2 linked regions of the Oryzias latipes genome follow. The protein of the gene in region 1 interacts with the protein of each later gene in a biochemical or structural test. Links are inferred from orthologs where the notes say so. Each region holds a gene or a part of one and is shown on either strand. Other genes may lie near its edges.

Region 1 (4,422 bases):
AGAAGAGGTGAAAACAGCAAAACCTCAGCATAACACACCTGCTTTAGGCTTTCTAGTGGGAGGAGCTTCGTCCTCTGAGGAAGAGTCCTCGCTGCTGGATTCAGCGGCGGCCGCGGCCTTCTTCGGGGGGGCTGGTTTTGCCGCAGTCTTGGGTTTCGGCGGCGGCTCCTCTTCAGAGTCAGAGGAGTCTTCGCTGCTGCTCTCCTGCTTCTTCTGGGCAGCTTTGGGTTTGGTCACAGCACCCGGACCTGCTTCTGTCGTTTGGACACGAACCAGGTTTATGAATAAATACTCCTCCTGACTTATGATAAGCACGTCAATCACAGCGTTGGGGACTAACTTGGCGCTGGAGCTTTGGCTGGCGCTTCGTCTTCAGAGTCGGAGTCTTCGCTGCTGGAGCTGCTGTCCTTCTTCCGGCCTGCAGCTGCAGCCACAGGTGCTGCTTTCAAAGGCGCCTGTGTGAATTACAAAACCCAAACATGAACGAAATGTGTGAAAATCTAGCTGGAAGGTTGAATGAGTGAGTTCCTCTGACCTTTGCAGGAGCCTTTTCCTCCTCAGAGTCACTGGAGTCTTCACTGCTGCTTGATGCAGCTTTGGTAGCTTTGCCCGGCACAGCTTTAGCCGGCACAGCTTTGACGGCTGAAATGAAAACTAAACATGAAGAAACCTGAGACGGGCGGGAAAGCTTCAGCTTCTTCTTGCAGTACCTGCAGCCGTTTTGCTCCGCTGTGCTTCATCTTCATCGTCGCTGCTCGACTCTTCACTGCTGGAGCTTTCTGCTGCGCTTTTTGCCTTCTTGGCAGCCGGACCGTTTGGCTCAGTCGGAGGCAGTTTCCGTTTTTTGGCGTCAGGTGACCTTTACAGGGCAATTACGGTCAATTCAGTTGATTTATGAAGCACTAACCAAGCTTTGCCTCGTTATATACGACTGCCATAAACGCATTCGTGCATCGTTCCTTCCTCATCTCTGCTACGTTTGAATAAAGTGACAGATGGATGACATGGAAGCACTTTCAGTAAACAGGAGGTGACAGTGGAACAGCAGAATAAGGAGAAGCCTCCAGCTGACAGCGTTGCCAGATCGGGTGGTTTTCAGCCCAATAACGCGGTTTTGGTTCCGATTCTGCAGGCAGAAACTGCTTTAGGCAGACGGACATCATTTTGGAGAGTTTCTGCGGTTTTTCGTTCCTTATTGACGTTCGCTTTCTCTGTATTTTGCATATTTCTTGTTCAATTACAGCGCAGGCAGCAAGGAGCTCTGCCCCACAGCTGATTGGACAATCCCACACAGACTGGGTTAAGTACGCCGCTGTGCTAATAATAAGGCTTTATTCTTATATTTTTCATAAACTCTTGACGTTTTTATTACACATCCTTGCTTTCCACTTAATAGTTCATGTATTCATGTTTGTCTATTGTTTTTTTTTTGGTCTTTGAATCTGACATAAAGCGGCACTGAAAAGCTGAGGCAAGAATGAAAACAACTATGTTTTTTTAGATATAAATATAAAAACAATACATCGTTTGTTTTATGAATGCATATTTACGCCTTTGGGAGGATTTTTTACTGTTGCCCAACACAATTAGAAAAACAGCTGAAGCTTTTAGGCTTTAATTAATTAATGTAATTTCAGGTGAAACATTACTTGACTTCCTTTTTTACGTTTTATTAATACTTGGAAAATATTCTATTTGTAGGAAAATTGTTATTTTTTTTGTAAACAATATGAGTCATAAGATGATTTGCCTACATTTCACCTCACCTAAATTCATGAAAAGTAAAACTATTTCCACCTTTGGTCATAGTAATATGTTATCCCAGAACCCCTAGTCCTGTTTTTTTGGGAGGTTTTGTTCCCTTTTTTAAATTTTCTTCTTTTGTGGTTGCTGTTAAGTTCAACAGGAGTCTGTTATTTTACGTTTTGCTCCGACCGGCTGCAAGAAAACAACATTCAACATGCCTCAAAGTTAGACTTTCAATTAAAATATGAAGCAATAATGAATGGATTTTTAATTACAGCTAATTAATCGCTGATCAACTTTTTGGGGGGGGATGTTTTATTTTAAGGGTTCTGGTTGTATTTAGAGAACTTATGAGCTGGAAAACCATGAAAAGACTGTCAGTACAACTAGACTGATGAAAACCTGCTGGGACACATTTGAATCAGAGAACAGGGGGGGGGGGACCTTAAAAAAAAACACTGAAGGCCAAAAAAAATGTTTTCCTCCTCAATTTCTTAGTACAAGTGAGGCAATTACAGTCAATTTACTGTAAAATGTTTGCATTTTCTTGTCATATGTATAAATTCCATTACCTTTAATAATTTAATATTTCAGAAAAGGTTTGCTATGATTAAACCTTAAATTATTATTATTGGTTAAGTGTCCGGCATATCATTCCAAAACTTACTTGACCCAGAAGTTGTAAATATTTTCTAGACTCTCCTCATTTTTGTCCAGAGGGTTCTGTAAAGGAGAAAAGTAGAAAAAGATTGACTGAAAAACACAATTCAAGCGTTACTACTGTCGGTTGTTGCCATGAAAAACGCGCAGAATCGCGAACATGTGAGTGCTGGCGACTCAACACGTGCTATTTTTTCTCTTTACCGGCACTGCGCAGTCTCAGTAAGTACCAAGAAGTAGACAGCACCAACAGGCAGACACCTGAGCTACTTACGACTTTAGTCTGTTTCAGGAACTGCTGCGCCGCTTTGGTGAACTTATTCTCCAAAAGAAAAGAATAAACGCATTTATAAAGATCACTGGGCACTGAGCCCTGCGCCGCCATCTTCACCACGCTCCTTCTGGAAAAAAAGAATCCTACTTCCAATTGCGCATGCGCTTCGCGAAGACGCGAGTCTTGAAAAAGAGATGATCAACTTCGACTTGAATTATCAAAACCGAGAAAAAGTCTAATGTTTTGATAATATTTGATCGTTGCTGATATTTTTCAATTTTATTTTCTAAAAACAATTTATAAGGAGTCATATATATTTATACAACTAACCATTCGGGGAAAATAGAAAAATGTAGATTCCTAAAAGCCGGGACTGAGTGGGAGCTCTGTATATAAAGTATTTTTAAACTAGACTTTTTTATTTGAAATGTCAGTTTTTTTTAAATTTACTATTATATTTAAATGAAAAGAATTATATCATTTTAAAAGGCTAAATTAATCCAGTCTAACATTGTTTTATTTTATTTAAAATTGCGTACGAGGTGGCGCACAATATTGACGTCATTTCCATACGACCTTGTCTGCTGTCCCTCATGTCATAACATGGTGGTCTGTGACCAGAATTCTATGGGGATTACATTATTTCTGATTTAGCTGGACTAAAATTCGAGCCAGGCGGATTACCCTGCAGAAGCGATGCCTCGCTACGAGCTCGCCCTGATCCTGAAAGCGATGCAGCGGCCTGAGACGGCGGCGGCTCTGCGGCGAACCGTGGAGACTCTGATGGAGCGCGGCGCCGTGGTGAGAGACCTGGAGAACCTGGGAGAAAGACTCCTGCCCTACAAGATGACCAAACACAACCAGAGGCACTCCCGAGGCTCCTACTTTCTAGTCGACTTTTACGCAGCTCCCAGCATCCTCAATGGGTTGTTGGATCACCTGCACCGTGACGTGGACGTGGTGAGGCCCACTGTGCTGAAGAAGGATGAGCAGGTGTCCACCAGCACCACCACCTGCTGCGGGGCCCCGCAGTAGCTGCACTGGACGGGCTGAGGGGTTCTTCCGGACTTCCTGTAAGCTCCAAACCTTTAGAAACTTAGATCTACTATACAGATTAGTGGAAAAAGCTTCGAGGAACCTTTCCAGTGATATAAAGAAGATTCTTAGCCCTTGTGCTTGTGGGGTCCAGATGACCCCACCCTTACATTGACGTGTTCTCCCTACCATGATAAAGGTGGAGAAGATTTCATGTAATCCATGGACACCAGTGAAGATCAAAAATCATTGAATAAAAAAAGGTTCAGCGCACTGTCTAGTGGGTCTAGATGACCCAACTCCCAACGTTAACGTCCCTTGGAGGCACGTTAATGTTGGGAGTGGGGTCATCTGGACCCCACAATATAGCGCAAGGGATGTAGGACAGAAATGAAGAAAGTTATCACATGTTGTATTCCTGAATTAACATAAAAAACAGCTCCATTACTGTGCCGAGAGTCTTCAAAGTGGCATAACTTTCTTAATACTCTTCCAATCCAAGAAGGGGAAGTATCATTATAGGGGCTTGTGAAAAGAACTTCAAGAATTGAAAGACACATTTGACATAAAATCAATAAAATCAAGATGAAGTAAACAACAAAAATCGACTAGTAGCATAAATAAACATCTATCAATATTTATTATATTATTATTTTATTATTATTATATTATATATTATAGAAATTTTCCTACTTGGTAACACACCA
Region 2 (4,389 bases), on another chromosome or scaffold:
TATGCAGTTCTGAGGGTCGAGCCGGCTGACCATGAACTGGGCACATTGATCCTGCAAAGCGGGGATCTGGAAAATGCTGGCTGCAGTGAACAGGGCTTGGACGTTGGACTCAGAGAGCGTGACTCTGGATGTGTAGGCATAGTCTAGAACAAGGTGCATGGATTCCGATTCCACCCCAACAATTCTGACTTCACGCCGACTGCTCTCTGTAAGGCCACTGGTGAACATGGACCTAAAAATGGGAGAGAATAAAATAAAAGTTGAGGTTACAATGCCATTGCTACCCTTTATCTATGAATTTTCAAAAAGAAAGACAGAAAAATGCATGTTGGGAATAATTATTTTGTCAACTACTTTGTAAAAGAAAACTTCTGTTGCTTTTATTTGACATGGTTTTACCTAAAATATGGGCTGATTGCAGCAAGAACATTCCGGTGGCACGAGAAAGTCTTGCCATGGTCCACTTCCACAACAATATCTGTGAGCTGTGCTTCATCATACAAGGCTTTGAGCTGCTGAAGAATGTTGCAGGCGTGCACAGCATCTACCCCGTTGAAGTTGGTGGTAGGAGGTGTCCCATTTTGTACTTGTAACAGCTTCCCTACCTCTGCAAATGAAAGAGGTTAAAAAAGCAATGTCACATGCTTTGTGATGTAGTTTCCACCATAAATACACTTTCTAAAAAATTTCACAAAACAACTTGTGGTCCCACAGTCCCTTATTGTGCGATCACCCATAATGTGATTTTATTTTTTGTTGACTATGATTTTGATGCGAGATATTGCTTTCTAGTAAGACCTGCAGGGAAGCAAAACCCCATACACACAGGTTAGAGCTAGGTCATCTATGTTGCACAGAGGTACAAACAAAGGGTCCATCCTGAATGTCTTCAAGAGCTCCTTCTAAAACACAGATCACAGCACAAGTTCTTAAAAGTGACCGTGTGAAGTAACAATGGATCAACAGGGAAACGCAAACACCGATTGATCTTCACACAGTTAGCCTGTTTTGATTTAGACTGTGCAGGGTAAGGTAGGGCTTACGATTGGATCTGCTGTCACAGAACACATGAGGCTGAAATTTGTGTTTCAGGGTGCAAATGCTCCAATTTAAAATAAAATCATTAACATCATCTTTTTTTTAAAATACATTATGGCAAAAATAAAAGTGTCTATTCACACGTAATTTTTCGAAATATGTGCGGCCAGCCCTGTACTTGTTTCTTGGCCGCACGGACCTAGAGAAAGGGTTAAGGTTAGGATTAGCGTTGGGTTAAACCACCAAATAGTTTCTGAGCGCGTCTGTTTCTGCATCTCACCGCTCCTCCAGGGGATAAACCAAATGCGGAGAACACATTTCACACACCTTGGTGTGTGACAGATGATAGGACTTTAACTTCAAGTCTAACTTTAAATACGTGTGGCCAACAACAAAATGCAACCTTGGACGCACTTAAAATACATGTGGACAATGCAGCAATGTGCATCTTAAGATGAATTTTAATCACTTTTTGTGCTGGTGGTGGCACGTAAATATCTGCAAATAACATCAGCCAAAATAAAATCAACTTGTATAGGTTAATCAGCATAAAACAATTGTTTTTTTAGAAAAAGAAAACAAAAGGATGGCATGTTAAATCTTTGCCCTCTTTAATCTTAACTGTTGAAATTATAACTGTCCTCATCAAGTCTTGTGTTTATGTTTTTTTTACAGATTTACTGAAAAAAAAGCAAGAACCTCTGTGCTCTAAGTACAATAACTTTTTAATGCTGTTGATTCTCATTACTGGTTGTTTTGCCTCAGAAAAATTAAATAACGTAAAATTTGTATTACTTCTGTGATATAAATGACTGTTGTGATGACGTTACCTTGTGACTTTAAATTATTAGATTGTCAGTCTGGTTTCACGACTGCTTACGTATTTTTCTGCCCCTGCCCCCCAAAAAAACAACTGCAAAGTTAGCAGGGCAAACACTGCGTGTGTTGAGAGAATTTGTATGTTTGTCATCACAACATTTGGATTATTACAGTGCGGTTTTTTTGGCTCTGTTTTCACGATCGTTAATAGGACACTGTTATTTTCAACAAAAACCTCGTCGTGTTGAGAAACGCCTTTTTCCTTGACAGGACAAAGACTCTTAGTGGATGAATAGAAGACTGTCTCACCAGGTGGTAGCTAGCTTGCTAAATTCACCGACCGAAGCTTCTTGCGGTTGCTGACCGACTGCCGGCAAAAACTACATTTGACCATCCGCGTGACTTTACAAGGATTTTATTATGTATAATCTAAGTTTATGTACATATTTAAACGATTGAGATTGGCTGCTATACTAGTAGATAAAAGACTGGCGAGCTTAACTTTTAGCAGACAGCTATGTATGTTGCAAGCTAATATTAGCAAGCATTACTTAGAACATAGCGAGCTAAAGGGGTAATTACATGTAAAGTAGTAACTTATAGATATATAGAAACATGCAACACAACTTATTTTGAAATAGTTTATTGTACTGTATCTTCTATTGAACTTGTCTATTCTCTGTCTCTTGTCACAAACAAGTGTTTACACAATCAGCTGAGAGCAGCGAGCTAACCTGCCGAAAGTTAGCAGGAGAGTTAGCATTAGCAACCTAGCAAGTCTGGCGAGAACCGATAGTTTTGAGTGGCTGATCCGACTGAGACTTCTTCTAACTACAGCAAAACACGCCTTCATGTTCGGCTAATCTGTTATCTTCCGTTTCAATACATCCCCAAAACGCAACTGGCAAATTTCAAAGGCATTATTTGTTAGTCGTTAAAACACAAAACAATGAAGACTTTGCTAACCTCCACTGGCAGCCATTCTCTCCAGTCTGTTTCGGGGCAGACCGAGAAACGTCAGGGTGAACACACAGGAGCCCCGGAAACAAGAAGCAACCAATCAGCGTCTAAGAGATGACACTCGAAGCCAATCACAATTCGATTCTCTGATGAGACTAAGAAAAAATAGTAAATTCTTCCAGCAACACAATTAATGAATCAACCTGCTTAGTCAGTTAAAGCAGGAATTCCCTAACAAGTGGAATTAGATTTTAGGGTGGTCTGCAGAAGCAAAAGGCTTAAAGGAAACCCTTTAGTGTCAGTACTGTGCTAAATGCAGATTTTACATTATTTGACTTTAGGCTTTATTTCTTTGTTTAATTTCTAACAATAATTTAAGTAAATTCACAAATATATTGTAACGATGAGTCTTAGGGGCTGAAGGGCTAACCCCCAGGTCGCCACAATATACTAATTTATTATTATTATGAGTTGGATTGTCTTTAATAAATCTAATCTGTTTTTTGTTCTCTTACGAGTAAAATAAGAAAGTCTAAATCTATCTAAAGTGAATTTTCACTAGAGTCTCAATAGATTAAGGAAAACATTTTTTATTCAGTAAAATGTTTTGCTCTTTTAAAATCATTACCAAAATATTGTCTTTAGCAAAAAAAACAACATTCTATAAAATGAAACAGGCTATTATTAAAGAGAAAACCTAAATTTACATTACTTTTCTTATTTCATTACATTCTTTTGGGTTCTCTTTTGTGATTCTAAAATACATTGAAAAAACTACAAATAAAAAGCATATAACTTGCTTTATAAAACTTTGGGAGACAAATGAATCCAGAAGGGTCTAAAATGGCAGTTATGTGGTTGAGGTTTTTTTTCCAAGAAACACTTTGGTTAAAATTATTTCCTGTGATTACATGAACAGATTTGTCTCAAATCATGGTCAGGAAATTTGTAGAGGCTATCCAAAGAACTTTTCTTTATTTTATAGAGCATCAAAGTCCTGCGTGTTGTTCATACATTTTGTATTTCTAATGGAGCATTGTGTCACGCTGTTCCCTGGGGTTTTTGCTGTACTATCATTGATAGCTACTTTGCCGAAGGGCAATGTCCACTTTTGTGTGTTTGTTGGGGGCTCACATGTGACTGTAGAGAACAAATGGGTTTGTTGTTTCTATTCCTTAATGCTAAAAACCCCCACATGTGCTCTGACTGCACTCCACCACCATGCCTAACAGTTGATACAACGCAGGAGTACTGTGATCTTTGTTGTCCAACATCTTCATTTGTGGTGTGTTTGATCAAGTCATATGTTTTGATAAAAGTGACATCCTAAAACATGGCACAATGCTGCTTTTCGAGAGAATTATAATGCTTCCCTAACAAACTAGTCTGTTAGGACCACAGTCACTGACTCTGTAGAGATGAAATCTTCTGTATTCGTTATTAATGAGTTTATTCAGTGGTATTTCTCAGATAAGTACTTTGTATTATCTGCAAAAAATATTTTTTTTTTTAATCACAGATGAATGATTAATATTATTTTTTAGGTAAACAAACTTTATTCAGTAAAGTTTA

Evidence for each region.
Region 2: the proteins of nucleolar and coiled-body phosphoprotein 1 (region 1) and kbtbd8 form a complex in vitro, tested with the Homo sapiens proteins (2 studies listed by BioGRID). The link is inferred for Oryzias latipes from reciprocal best matches to the Homo sapiens genes NOLC1 and KBTBD8.

Annotation. Positions count from the first base shown.
Region 1 is NC_019873.2:26,609,942-26,614,363, forward strand, and holds the start of nucleolar and coiled-body phosphoprotein 1, read right to left. Parts: upstream 2,829-4,422; 5' UTR 2,792-2,828; coding exon 2,681-2,791; intron 2,470-2,680; coding exon 2,414-2,469; intron 860-2,413; coding exon 711-859; intron 643-710; coding exon 536-642; intron 456-535; coding exon 341-455; intron 255-340; coding exon 39-254; intron 1-38. Other genes in the region: mrps6 (28S ribosomal protein S6, mitochondrial), read left to right, coding at 3,377-3,715. UniProt on the Homo sapiens protein: Nucleolar protein that acts as a regulator of RNA polymerase I by connecting RNA polymerase I with enzymes responsible for ribosomal processing and modification.
Region 2 is NC_019863.2:16,109,778-16,114,166, forward strand, and holds the start of kbtbd8 (kelch repeat and BTB domain-containing protein 8), read right to left. Parts: upstream 2,936-4,389; 5' UTR 2,840-2,935; coding exon 2,824-2,839; intron 608-2,823; coding exon 400-607; intron 233-399; coding exon 1-232. UniProt on the Homo sapiens protein: Substrate-specific adapter of a BCR (BTB-CUL3-RBX1) E3 ubiquitin ligase complex that acts as a regulator of neural crest specification.